2 linked regions of the Oryzias latipes genome follow. The protein of the gene in region 1 interacts with the protein of each later gene in a pairwise test. Links are inferred from orthologs where the notes say so. Each region holds a gene or a part of one and is shown on either strand. Other genes may lie near its edges.

The links.
Region 2: the proteins of rcc1l (region 1) and nme6 interact in binary tests that used the Homo sapiens proteins (3 or more experiments, as listed by UniProt). The link is inferred for Oryzias latipes from reciprocal best matches to the Homo sapiens genes RCC1L and NME6.

The regions. Positions count from the first base shown.
Region 1 is NC_019872.2:27,470,373-27,477,691, forward strand, and holds the start of rcc1l (RCC1-like G exchanging factor-like protein), read left to right. Parts: upstream 1-3,463; 5' UTR 3,464-3,636; intron 3,637-4,164; 5' UTR 4,165-4,165; coding exon 4,166-4,450; intron 4,451-5,324; coding exon 5,325-5,454; intron 5,455-6,177; coding exon 6,178-6,306; intron 6,307-7,193; coding exon 7,194-7,260; intron 7,261-7,319. Other genes in the region: stress response protein NST1-like, read right to left, coding at 321-1,511. UniProt on the Homo sapiens protein: Guanine nucleotide exchange factor (GEF) for mitochondrial dynamin-related GTPase OPA1. Activates OPA1, by exchanging bound GDP for free GTP, and drives OPA1 and MFN1-dependent mitochondrial fusion. Plays an essential role in mitochondrial ribosome biogenesis.
Region 2 is NC_019882.2:13,733,324-13,740,487, reverse strand, and holds nme6 (nucleoside diphosphate kinase 6), read left to right. Parts: upstream 1-2,739; 5' UTR 2,740-2,984; exon of another isoform or gene 2,985-2,995; intron 2,996-3,275; 5' UTR 3,276-3,278; coding exon 3,279-3,371; intron 3,372-4,936; coding exon 4,937-5,039; intron 5,040-5,276; coding exon 5,277-5,316; intron 5,317-5,414; coding exon 5,415-5,575; intron 5,576-5,884; coding exon 5,885-6,042; 3' UTR 6,043-6,101; downstream 6,102-7,164. Other genes in the region: brain and acute leukemia cytoplasmic protein-like, read right to left, coding at 6,556-6,720, 6,839-7,038. UniProt on the Homo sapiens protein: Major role in the synthesis of nucleoside triphosphates other than ATP. The ATP gamma phosphate is transferred to the NDP beta phosphate via a ping-pong mechanism, using a phosphorylated active-site intermediate. Inhibitor of p53-induced apoptosis.

The sequences.
Region 1 (7,319 bases):
CGTTGTTCTGCAAACAGCAGCTCCACCAGGTGAGAGCTTTGCACAGACGACACTGGATGTGCTTCATTCAGCGAAGGTCAGACGCTCACCTGACAGCTCTGCAGCATTAATTCAGATCTAATCCCACAACAGAGCAGATTATGAAACAATCTCACCGAGTCAGATTGTACGTTGATTTAGAAATATATTTAGTTATTGGTAAGGATGTATTCATTGTGGAGGCAGAAGAACTCAAGTCAAATTGAAACACAAAAACATTCTACAAAAAGGCCAGATTACAATCAAATCATTAGGAGCTAATGATTGTTTTGCAGAGCCGTCTACCTTTGAAGGTAGAACAGCTTTTCATTCTTTGGAATATTTTTTTGGTCTATTAGTGTCTGAAAAGACACTTGCCAACCTTTGAATTTCAAAGGATTTTCAGTAAAAATTGTGGGCTCAGGTGTTGGAAGACGATTAGCACTTATGGCTTCTGCTAAAATACTAACAAAGTTTGCACCGTCTTGCACATGAGTCGTGGTTGTTGGGGGTGTCGTCATTTGGTATGTGATAGCTTGTGGAATAAATGGAGGACTTGAGGCATCAAGTGTTTGAACAGGGGCTGGAAAAGTCGTAGGAATCACAGGAGGTCTTGGTATTTGAAGCATAGATGATGACTTTGTCAAAGGAAAATTTTGAGAAGTTCTTACTCTTTTGGTGTTACCTTGTATGAAGGAAACTTCTGCTTGGTCGTAGACTTCTACTCTAGCTTTAGCAGCATTTAGCTTTTTGACTTCTTCGAGTCGTTCAAGTTTTCTACGTTTGTCTTGTATAGCCTGAAGTCTAGCTTGTTTCTCTGACTCAAACTGAACAAGACGCTCTTTATCTTCAGCCTTTGAAGTTTCAACTGCTTCCTTTTCTTGTTCCTCCAACACTGCCAAAACCTCTTGACATGCAGCAGCGTCTCTTCTTTTAGCTGATTGGACACTTGAGTGGAAAGAATCACACTTTGACCGATCAGACATTGACTGAGATGATGAAACTGTTGAATTTAAGATTGATCCAACATCTGGCCAAGGTTCCTCCTCTTCATCTGCCGGTGACCCTTGAAGCTGTCTTTTAGTCTTTTGGATAATAAATCTTGACAGTGACATACAGGTATCAACCTTGCGCCGCAGGTCTGACTCGGGCGTACATACTTGGCGGAGCTCATCGTACATCCCCTGTACAGCAGAAGAGGTAGCTTGAAGGTCCTCAATTATTTCCTTTAGCTCCTCCTTGGAAACTTTATCTGATAACATTTCTTTACTAATTCTCGCATGATATCTCCACTTTTCATATGTCATTCTGTACTTGCGTTCCATTGCTTTCAGTTTTTCCTTTTGGAGTTCTTTTCCTTTTTCAGTCAAGCTTCGAATTCTTTCACTTCTTCGTGGTGTTTTTGCTTCTTCTTCGGGAGTAAGGTGAGCATTTTCAACTTGGGCAGATTCCTCAGCTTGCTCCTCTTGATTGTGTGTTTGTGCATGTGACATCTTATCAAGTGCTTTAGGGTGCAAATGTTTAGGAATATATGTTTTAGACAATATGTCTTAACTTGTTTAAATTTTCAAATGTAGTAAGTTTATCTAAACATGAAAGGCATATTATCTGTTACTAAATTAAATAAATGAAATTTACAAACACTTCAAGCCTAAATTGTAATGGAAAAACACTTAAAGTAACAATAATAATACTGATGAACTGTAGTCTTAACTTTGCTTTCAAATATTTTAAATGAACTTTTTTTTTCTAAATAAGTCACAAAAACATTTTCTTGATATGTAACAATATAGTAGAAACGCTTTAACAGATGACAAATAACTTATTTCCTTAGCTGCAACCTTTAAATCCCCTTTTAACACTATTTCTTTACTTTTTGTAAAAAAAAAAAAACTTTCTGGCTTCATTGGACACCAGTCCTTTCATATGCTTGCCTGCACGCGGTAAGGAAATGGGCGTCGGCTTCCTCGTGGCTCTCGGCTCTGCTTAGCGGGCACTTCTGCAGGTCATCACACACTTCTTGTGGGACATTGCGTGCCTTCGCTTTCATGTGAAAACTATAACAAAACATTATACACGTTTGAGGAGAAATAAACAATACAAAATAACACAAAAAACAAGCATAACAAATACCTCGTTTCCGCTTGTCAAGAAAAAAGAGTCTCTTTTAGTCCAAGGTATTCTTTTTTGCAGCTCTTTCTCCCAGCTTGAACTCCTAATTGCCGCAACCTCGTGAGCAAAAGACGTGCTCACCTGCAGTGTTGCCAGATCTGAGTGACAGTTTCCAGCCCAAACTCATCGTAAAACCCGCCCACGTCAATAAAAACCAGCCCAAATCTCAACCTAGCAAAAACCTAATGTTGAACGTAAAAGTATAGCCGTAGCCTAATAAAAAATGACGCAATAATAATAAATTATTATATAATAAGTCTGTTATAATAATTTTTTTTATAAAATAAGTACAGAAAATCCAGTTATAGGTTTCTCGTATCGTGTACTCTAGATGGCTTTTGATGGCGCCCCCCTCTTTCTGCCACTGCCAGGTGCTGGACCACAGCGTATGTCAATCAGCGGTGGGCTGGTGACTGGTGGATTAGAGGGGGCGGGGCCTACCTGGGTGCGCGTTGGCTGAACGTTCTCCTCCGGCTGAGTGTATAAGCAGGCTGCGCTATTTTTGTTCGAGCTGTAACCATTCTGACAAGGTTAATAAAAGCCAATAAAAGCCCTGCAGCATCTCCATCTTTTGGAAATGAACCCAAACGGCAGAATAGGGTTCTGACTCTGCAGAGGCTCTGGGAGTTTTAAAACAGCGTCAATTATTCGCTGATTTTTGTTATTCACGGGGGGGGGGGGGTGGGGGGGGGGGGGGGGGGGGACTAAACAGGGGGATTACTGTAATGTTTCATATATTCACAATGCTTTTTTTAGGCTATATATTAATTAGTATACTTTTACTTAATATTTTAAATAATAAGAAAAATAATAATAATGACAATAAAACCGCTAAATATTTTGAAAAGCAGCCCAAATTTTATAGACCCGCCCAATGCCAATTTTACCCGCCCAACATAACCAAAAGAAGCCCAATTGGGCGGAAACCCGCCCAATCTGGCAACACTGCTCACCTGTGGCCAACATAAAAGGCTCAAATTCTCGCGAGAATAGCCCTATTCTTCTGAACATAATTCAAACAAAATTCACTGTCCAAAGAAATAAAAATTAAATCACCACTCATTAAACATTTCACAACCCACGGACTTCAATAAATATATATAAATATATAAATTTAAGCTGCATTTACAATTTTTCTTTGTTGCAAAACTGACACCATACAAAAACTAAAGTTATTTCCCTGACATTTACCCATAGCTGTGATGTTATATTCCTCCAGAGCAGCAGGGGGCGGTGTTGCTTAACCGGAAGAGTATTCCACCGCGAGACCATTTTACCCGGAAGTTCATCTCTTCTACCTCTCGTGTTCTTGGATAGAAATAGGCGTCTAACAAGTGAGATTTGAACTGAAAAGATTTAAGTTAAATCTGAATTTAAACAGCCGATGGGGAGATTTGCTTCCTTTCGGCAGACCGGGACAGACGCTAGGTTCAATGAAAAGTAAAGGTACGAAGGAAACATGGTTGAACTCATTTTTTCTGCCATTTCTATAAAATATTTGAATATTTTAATGAAGATTGTAAATGATACATTGAAAAGCTTAATTTAAATGAATACAAATGTTCTTTACAGTTCGGCATCAGTGAAATAACAAAATTGTTGCATTAAAAACATGGAAAATCAAGGTTATTGTTTAATATGTTTTAATTTGGCTTAAAAAATATCCCAGTATGAACTGTCGCAGTACCTTTTAAAATAACTATGTAAAATGAGCTGTTTGAGTTCATTGAATGAGATTTATTTATCCATAACTCCTTTTAGCTTAAAATTAGTGCATGTCATCAACTTAAATGCTTATTTTTAATAGATCTGTAAGTTTTCATGTTTTTAGAAAACTCAACATTGGATATTTTCCAAGAGGTCATTGAAGGAAACAGGAAATGTTAAAGAATCAGTTGATAAAACATTTTTCTTAGTGTCTTTGTGCCATAAAAGGAGACTTTATTTCAAAATAAAATGCTTGTATCTGTGCAGGATGGCTCTTTCCACGGTGCGCTTGTGCTCCCGGCACAGGAGCTCCGGCCTCCAGGCGTTTGGCTACGCAACGCAGCACAGCTCCTCAGGAGCCCAGGAGAGCAGCAGCAGCGGCCCCGTGTTTCAGTACGTCGGCCAGCACAAGCGGCCGACCCACAGAGTGTTTGTCTGGGGCTTCAGCTTCACTGGGGCTCTGGGGATCCCCAGCTTTGTGGTGCCAGACAGCGGCAGGAAGAAACCCCGCAAGTGTCAGCTGACGCCGTACCGTCTGGAGACGGCAGAAACGGTAGAGCATCTTTAAAGGTTTTGCAAGAAGTCACTTCAATTGAGTTGATTTAGAAATATCATCACTATCATCACAAAAAGAATATAAAATCAATAGAGAATGGAATGAAACGCTTTCAACATTTCTTATTCGGTAAAATAGAATAAATCACAATGCAGTAAAATAAAAGAGAGAGCATTTATTTTACTGTGTGTAAAATCCAAGTTAAAAAAGTTGTTTTTTCTTCTTTTTTTGAAAAGACTTACAAAGGCTGTCAGACATGAAGTGGAAGCTCTTTCCAAAGTTATGGAGCTGCTGCGGCGGCGGCGAACGCATGCTCCTTTGTTTTTGCTGAGCAGCTGACCGAAGAGGGAGCATCAAACTTCAGCAGCTCATAGAAAAAGCTGCCAAGCCGTGCACAGATTTATAAACGAATGAGAGAATTTTAACCCTGCTTATACCTGGTCTGGGTAAATACTTGACTCTGATTGGCTGCGAGGTGTCTATCACAGACCAGATCAAAATAGTGTTTTTGGCTTTTTACTCATGTATATGAGCATAATGAAGTTAAAATAGGTAAAATCTGATCATATTTCTCTGTTGTAGTGTACATTTTGAGATTGTTTCTGATCTTGTGCATCTAAATGTGGAGAATTAACCTCAAGTTACTAGATGGATTAAATAAAAATCACTGTATGTATTATTTTAAGTCTGTGGTTTAGCAGTTTTCTGGCGTAGACGGAGAAGTCTTTTATTGTCCGTCCTTCACTTTGGCGGTTCCAGCGTCTGAGTGGGCTCCTGTCATCAGTCACAGCTGACTGAGTCTAATGCTCTGCATCTAATTGTTGAGGAAAGTGGCTGAAGGTGGAGTTCAAGGTCACCGTCTCTGTTGCAGATCTCGTCTGCTGCTTGTGGTTACGGATTCACTCTCCTGGCGTCCTCCACCAAAGACGTGTCCAAAGTGTGGGGCATGGGCCTGAACAAGGACTCTCAGCTGGGCTTCCAGCGAACCCAACGCAGCCGTCGTAAGCAAAAAAAAACCTCCTCTGATGCTGCACACCAGCTCTCCTTAATCACTGCGAGTCTGTCGGAACAAAGAGGCGCCATCAGAGGCGGCGGCGGTGTGTCCACGCTGAAATGAAAACCGGCGCGTTCGCTTTTCAACCCTTTAAATCTTTTCCAGTTTTCTCTCACAGAGCTAAAAATCACTTATTTATTAGAATGCTGTTGGTTTATTTTTAATTCATAAGGACGGTACGTTTACAGTTTTGCAGGTTTCTCTTTTCCAAGTGGGAAAATAAAATGTGAATATGCATTTTAGGGACTCTTGGAAAACATTTTTACTGTCAGTTTATGTGACTTAATGTTTGGTATAAACAGTTTTAATTGCCAGTCTGGTGAGCTTTAGTGCACACTGGTTCTTTTGCAGGGACTTCTGGGAAATTACTAAAAAGGCATGATGTGGTGTACGAAGTGGCCGCTTGAACGCGCGTTGTTGAGGGCGCAGCTTCATTTCTCAAAGGTTCCAGAACGAATTCAACATTTTTAAACACACAAAATCTCATTTTTGACATCTACAGCCTCATTATTTCAAAGATGATGTTTCTGAAGACGTTTTTCCTGTCAAGGGTTCCATTGGAAAGCTGTAATTGTCACGCCGCGTTTTCAGAGGAACCTCTGCAGACTCGCCAAAAGCACAAAGACTTCTCGTCTCTTTGAAATCTTGCGTGGCTGCTGTCCCCCCGCAGATCACAGCTACCATTACGTTCTGGAACCGTCTCCGGTGGCGCTGCCCCTCAAAGAGCCTCTGCAGACCAGGGTGGTCCAGGTGGCATGCGGCCGCGCCCACTCCCTGATCCTCACCGACAGAGAAGGAGGTGAGACGAGATGTTTGTGCTTTTCTAGAACAGGGCGGGGCCAACAGCCCGCTGAACCAGATCAGGGATGCTGTCTTCTTTCACACAGTCTGTCAAACAGAACAGAACAGTGTTCCCTTTCCACGTTGCAGTTCATCTTTTGCGGTTTCGCTCATTCTTTTAGTGCGATGATGCTTTTTTTTTCTGCAGAAAGTGTGCAGAAAATTCTTCTGCTGCTGGATTGTGGTGTAAGATTTGTTGGTCGCCGCACAAACGCAGCATTTCTTTGAGTTTGCGTTTTACACGACGTGCATCAAATGATGCAAATGCCTCTAAAATGAGAAGAAAAGACACAGTTTTGAAACAAAATGTTCCGTTTTAAAATATATCTTTATTTTCAATCAAAATAATTTTGTCCAGATTCCATTTTATGTATTTATTTATTTTTAAGGTGGATTACCAAAACACACATTTGCTCCTGGTTAGAACCTTTCGTGGACTACGAGTTGAAACGTTGGCGCTAGAAGGAGCTTTGGCGTCTTTTCTTCTGGTGCTTTGGTGGAGCGGAAACCTCCTTCATGTGTGCTTCTGAACGCCACTCCACTGCAGCAGATGTTCACTGTGACGAGTGAAACCAATAAAAATGGACTTTTATGATTTGAAACGAGCTTTGTGGCTTCATGTCTGGCACTCAGGGGAGAGACGTGTCACAAAGATGTTTGTTTCTTTTTGCTCCGTTGCCTTAAATGTTATGTTTTAGTTCATTCAGACGTTCATCACTTATCTGAGAAAAGTCCAATTTCATTTGAGTTTATTTGTATGGAAAGACGCCTCCAAATGAAAGTGTTTTTCTTTTTCTCTCCTGTTTTATATCTGAAAACTTCACTTTTGTGTTTGTCATTTGTTAGTTTTCAGTTTGGGCAACAACGCGTTCGGCCAGTGTGGGAGGCGGATAGTCCGAGATGAAGTCTACAGGTGCGTCGCTTTAACTTATTGCATCATTTTTCTGCTGAAATACAAGATATTTCTCTGAT
Region 2 (7,164 bases), on another chromosome or scaffold:
ACTGCACATTGAGATTAGCTAATAAATTTAATGGTGTGAATGAAAGTACAAACTAAAAATATGGAACATTTTAGTTTGTTTATAAGTGCTCCAGTATGTTACAATTTGGATACAACAGAGTAGAAGACCCAGACCATGACATTACCACCGCCATGTTTGAAAGCTCTTCTTCCTTTTGGGTTGTGATGGGCACCTAAAACAAATTAAAATATTGTGTCTATGTTTCTTGAATTTCTCTGAAATTCTGATGTTTTCTTTTAACATAACCTCTATAGTCAGTTGAAAACTGGGCATCTGGTCTAGAACTAGGATGTTTTTCTTTGCTCACTTTTATGATTTTCTCTACTGACACATACTGTGCCACAAATTTATTCCATGTAAAAATATCAAATTTGTCTTATGTAAGGATTTTATCGTCTTTAGTCACAAATAACTATATTTTGTCAGAGGCATACTTTTAAAATGGATGTAAATCCTTCAATGGGGACTCAATATTTAAGAGTATTTTTTATTTTGAAAATATACCTAGTATTCCAACAAGAGCAGTTTTTCTCTGATGCACCTCATAATGATTCCACAAAGAAATGTATTTGTCTTTAAAGAATGACCTGACTAAGATGATTCAAGTCCTGTTATACTGGGGGGGAACTACTCATTCCAAAAACCAAAGAGTGACAACTGCAGTGCAGCAGTACCACAGAGGAAAAAAGATAAAAGGGGTTTGAGGCCCTTGAGAAAGGGGGTGAATCAGCAGAGGATGATTGCAGCACGAGTCAGCAGTGATCATCAATGGTATCAGTTCTGTTGGATGGGGTCCTCAAGGAAACCTCCACCCATCATGTTAACACAAATGGGTTATTTAGTTTCAGATTTAACAATGTTGTGTTCAGAACATTTGTCTTATCCATTCACAACCACCAACAATCTTTTGTGACTCATAAACCTTGTGGGCAACTAAATAAACTCTAATAAAAAAATGTAAACAGCTAGAACAGAATATAAAGACCCAGAAAAAATGTGACCAGATTTTACTGATGGCGAGCTACTTTTCTGGCCTCAACAAAGATGTCAAGAAAAAAAAACGGTCATGTGAAAAGTTGGTTTTAAACAAAATAAATTATTTTCCTGATTCTTCTGAACTTGACATTCAACAGTAGTTGTCAGCCCTGATCCACACATAATACTTAGTGTCCACTAGAATCCAGGCTGACGTGACTGATCTTTGTGGAAAACGCGATTAGGCCATGTGTCATCACATCACATTGAGCTCCTCTGTTGCCTCTGCCCCTCTGCCTGACGTCCTATAACTTAAACTTTATAGAGTTCAAAGAAACAAGGGTCTTTTGTCTGAGTCACTCAGTAAGAAACTGCAGTCACCATCATTACTGCTGCCATGTGTTCATCTCCATCATTCGTGTGCAGCTCACCATAGATCCGCAGATCACAAAGTTAAAGCAGAGACACAAACTTTGCTCTTTCTAAATCAGACCCATTTATTACATTTAAAAGGATTTCTATGACATTTTTGAAATGTAGATTTAAAAAGTAACCATTTTAAGCATCATTTCTTTCACACAGAAATGTGTCCCCTCCAACCCCACAAACATCACTTGCCCTCTCCAACCCCCTCATGGGACACAACAGCTGTGGTTTCACCCCCACCCAGAGTCATATGACATGGGCAGGTGGGATAAAAACCTATATGGACATACCCCTACTGCCCCTCTTCCATCTCCCTGAATGTCAGCCACACACTTGTGTTCAGTCTCTACTGTTCAAGGGTGTGACCATGTTGCTCTGCTGGAATGCGCTCCCCGTTTGTAGATCACACTGTATGTCTGATCTCTTAGACAGCAATAAGATTCCACAGACACAATCCCCCTGCTGCTCCAGCTTCTGCTTGTAGCTGCTGTTTATTTCTAAGAGAAGGCCAAAAGATGCACATTATGATTAAAGTGACTTTATTTTCCCCCTTTCCTCTAAGAATTTAACCTTTTTACAATGTGCACATTTGTAGTTGTGTGTCCTAAACCAATGGTTCTAAAATACAGAACATTTACACATGGGGATACCACTATACACACAAACGCATATAAAACATATAGTAATATGTAAAAATAAAAAATAAAAGTACATGAACAGCAGCTATCTAAATATTTATAGAGAAATCCAGTTAAAAACAACATGTGGTACAGCCAGAGACATGTTTTAAAATTTGTTTCAGATGGCAAAACTCATTTTAAAATGTATATTATTCCTTTAATATTACAATTTTCATTTAATTGAAAATTTGCATTGTCGTTTTTGTGCTACTAAAGCTTTTGAGTACTTCTGCAAGGTTCTAAAATATTGCTTTTATGTCTACATAAATGTAAACAAAGCAATCTGGTGCTAGTTTGGGGAAACTTGGCAAGAAAAGCCATTAACAGGGATACATTGCCTATTATAGGCAACAACAAAAAAAGAAATGATAAATTATTTAAGTAGTTTAACCAAGAAAGGGAAACTTATACTCTGATTGTTTGCAAGGTCCCTTGGTAAATTTTTGGGAGCATGTTTATAACTTTAAAAATAAATCTTTTAAAAATCGTTAACTTTCTGAAGTTTTATTGCTGTACAAAGCGAGAAATTAAAAAGAAAAACGTAATCAATTGTTTAAATGTGATTCTGATACATTTACTTGAGGTTTGTTTCTACTCCTTTCACAGAAGGAACTTTTTTTAAGCTTTAGTTTCGGGGGATTGTTTTTACGGACGGACATGTTGTAATGAGGAGGTTTAATCATAGCTAAAACTATGATTTTATGATACTTTAACGTTTAAAATAAAAAAGTGGTATTGTGAAAATAAGTATCTATTATGTAGGGTATTGAACGTTTGAAATCAGATCGAATAGCGGGTGTATAGCCTGCGTTCTGCGGCTGCGTTAACCGTTATTGCTCACGCGCCTCCTCCGCTTGTTATTTTGGACACAAGCCTCGCAGAGTGAGTCAGAGGTCGGTAAAATGAGCAAGTTGCTGGGTTGTTGAAGACAGCGAAAGATTCTTTATTATTATTATTATTATTATTATTATTATTATTATTATTATTATTATAATGTATTCATTATGATTATTATCTGTAGTAAAAAATAACTCACAATATCGCCTCAAGAACCACATTTGTGTTTGTTTTTCGTGTGTTTCTCACTGAGCATCGTCGTGTAAACGGGAGTCCACTTGTGTTTTGTGTCGCACGTGTTCTGGTTAACAGCTGCTTGTGTGTCTTGTTCACCAGAAAATGTTCCCGACGACTCGCCACCTGTCCAGAGTGCTGCAGCTCACTCTGGCGGTCATTAAGCCTGATGCTGTTGCTCATCCGTTGATGATGGAGGTCAGCCTTCAATGTAAATCCAAACATACACACTAAAGGTTGACGCCATATAAAAAAACACAATGTTAAAATAAAGTTTAAAAGGAACACACAGTTTTGAATCTGACATATATTTTGGGTGTGATGTTTATTTTAATTAACAGCCTAATCTTGTGAAAAACTGCATAAAAGAGCAGGAAGTAAATCTTTATTGACCATATATATTCAGGAAATTCAGAGAGAAGTTTCAGCTGATTGCAAAGAAAAGGAAAACGTAGATTTTAAATTGCAACGACATATTTTATTGTAATGTAAATTTCTGTATAAATAAGACAGAATATAAAAAAAATCTAGGAAATCATATTGTATGACTTTTTAAAGAATGTGTCAATTGGTGCAGAAGAAAATAAGTATTTGCCCCTATAAACAAGTAAGAATGCTGCCTCTCATAAACCTCTTACTTCTTCTTTATGTAGCGTTTCTATTTTTCATTCATGTCACCTTTTTAAACTAGTTATCTGTATAAAAGACACCTGTCCACACTCTTTAACAGTGAGAATGCAACCTTTCCATGATGAACAAAGAGCTGTCAAAGGACACCAGGACACGATTATTCACCTGAACAAGACTGGGATGAACCAATATACAAAAAGGAAGCAGCCTGATGAGACAAAATCAACTATTGGAGCAAATATTAGTAGATAGGAGAAACACAGGATCACTGGCGATCTCCCTCCACCTGGAGCTTTGTGCAAGAAGATCTCACCTTTTTATGTACAAATGATCTTGGTAATGATGAAGAAACATCCCAGAAGTATACCAGATCTGGAAGAACACATCATGCTCTGGGTCTGTTCTTTTGCAAAGAGGGTGGATAAACTGATCTGTCTTCAGGAAAAGTTGAATGGGAACATGTATAGTGAGATTTTGGGCAGAAACTATAAGTAAGAGCATTGGGGATGATATGTGGCTGGATCTTTCAGCATAACAAAAATCCCAAACTCATCACCAGGGCAACAAGGGGGTAGCTACGTGACAAGCATTTCAAGGTTCTGGAGTGGTCTAGCCAGTCTGGACCTCAATCCAGTAGAGATTCTGTGGAGGGAGTTGAAAGTCTGTGTTGCCCAGTAACAGCCCAAAAACATCACAGGTCTGAGAAGGTCTGCATAGAGGAATGGACTAAAATAGCAGCTAAAGTGTCTGTAAACCTGTGAAGACCTACAGGAAACCTTTGACCTCTGTCCTTGACAACCAGGATTACATTAGATTGTTGAGGTGAACTTTAATTATTGACCATTTTTGGCTCCATTATACAAATAAATTCTTTAAAAAGTCTTATGCGATTTTTTTTTCTTTTCTTTTTGTCTATTGTGTCTTTCACAGTTAATGTGTACCTCTTTCCTTTTTAAAGGGACCAACTTACAGAACCTGTGTGTCCCAAATACATTTTTGCTTCACTGTAGCTCTTACTGATTGACTCCTATAGATTGTTTGTATCTCAATGAATTCTGTTTGAATGGTTCGAAACCTTTTTTGTTTTTGTTTAAATATCACTAACAAATTGATGTATCTGATTTATCTTTCAGGCTCTTCACCAGAAAATTCTAGATAACGATTTTAAAATTGTCAGATGCAAGGATCTGGTGTGGGAACGGCAGGACTCGGAGAAGTTTTACGCCGAGCATTCAGGTGTGCGCACAGCGTGTGCTTGTGCAGATTTTCTGAAATGAACAAAGGCAGGCTGTTCTTCATCCATGTGACTGAAATTGAGTCAGGAGGCAGAATTGGCCGACACGTCACACCATTTGCACGGCAAAAACAAGTGAATCACCCTACTTTGCTGCTAAGAAGCCAACTTTAAAGGCTGCCGTGCAAAGAGAATGAAAAAACAGAGCATGGATGACCCTGTTTTGCCTTTATTTTCAGGCCGATTCTTCTATCAAAGACTTGTTGAATTTATGTCGAGGTGAGCCTCCATGTCTTTAAAAAAAAAAATGACTGATAGTAATCCTGTGTGCTGCCCCCCTACAAATGTTGAAACCATCAATGTAAAATTCTTCGCAGTGGTCCGATGAGAGCGTATGTTTTAGCCAGAGAAGATGCAATCCGTCACTGGAGGGGACTGATGGGACCGACCAAAGTGTTCAGAGCCAGATACACCGACCCGAATTCTATCAGGGCCCAGTTTGGGCTCACAGATACAAGAAACACAACTCATGGCTCAGGTTAGAGATGTTTAAAGACCAACTTTAATCATTTATTACAATTACCAGAACAAGATGAGAGTGGGACTTTAATGCTTTTACCATCATGAACATAATCCAGTTCTTTCAGGTTATTTTACGCTGTACGTTGGTAATTTATACCGAAATTACCAACATAAGTGGGGTATATATATATATATATTTTAAAGTTTAAAACAAATAAACTTCCAGCCTTTCTTTGCTTTTTGCAAAGTTTTTAATTTACAGAACTTTAACTGCTGTTCTTCAGTTTGACACCTTCAAATATGATTTTTTTTTCCCCTCCATCAGATTCTCCAGAGTCGGCTCAAAGAGAGATAAGCTTCTTCTTCCCAGATTTCCACACGGCAGACTGGATGGAGAAAGAAGAGCCGCTGTTCAGATCAGGAAAGATGACCTATGACCATCAGAACCAGGTCCATGTTTTATCAGCAGCAACACAACCTTAAGATGACTCAGTTTATATGAAGTCATGTTGGACCTTAAAGCTTTATTGGATGAAAAAAAACCACATACACAGATGACAAAATGTAAACTCATTTGTGCAAAACAAGATACAGTAAGCCTGATCAGTCATCGGCACAGACGGTAAAACCGTAACAACATGCTGTGCTTCTTTTCCAAAACAAATATTTACACTTAAAATAAAAAACACAATGATAGCATTACACACCATTTATCAAAAGCAGCAAGAAGTGTTTTTATTCACCCTGTATTTCACAAAATACTATTATTGGCACAAATGAATTATTAGAGATGTTTTTTTTCTGACCAAATGACAGTTTCACTTTTTTGTTCTCATTTATGTCAAAACATACAATAACACACGTCATGATGTGCATTGGCACATGATTCATATTCATGTATGAAATTACCGTCCATGAGACCATAAGGATTTCTGTACAAAAACACATTCATGTCACTGATTTCACAGTTGTGTTGAACCTGGCTCCGTCCTGCCTTCATGTGTTTTGAGTGGCCGCCTGTTTTAGAGTCTCCACAGGTTTCATGATCTCATAGGTTGTGAGAGACTTCTTCACTTTTCCATTTTTATCTACCTGGTGGATGCTCTGCGTCACGGTAATGGTCACCTGTTTAGTCGACATCCGATTATCCTGCCATTTTGTCTGTAAATGGTAAAAAACAAACACAGAGACAATAAAGAAGTTATTTAATATAGTTTGAAGCTTTTATTTTTGAAAGGTTTAACCATTGATTGGTATGCAATGGGTGTGAGAGGCTTACAATCTCCTCTGTGTGGAGAACACTTCTGCGCTGCACTGTGGTTCCTGATGGAGGTGAAGCGGCCTCCGGCTTCGGAGAGGCCAGGATGGATGACGGGCTGCTGGGCGTCACGTTGTTCAGGCTGGCTTCAGACACGGCCGAGCAGACCTTCAGGTACGCCTGAGCCGGAGGAGGGAGGCCGTCTTCAAAAAAGTCTGGAACTGCAATAAAGACAAACAGATTTGTTTTTGAGATTTGACCTTAATAATCTGCAAAAATTTGGTTTCACTTCAAACATCATCATTGAAAGTCTTCTTTTTCCTTAAACACTCACATTGATGAAAATT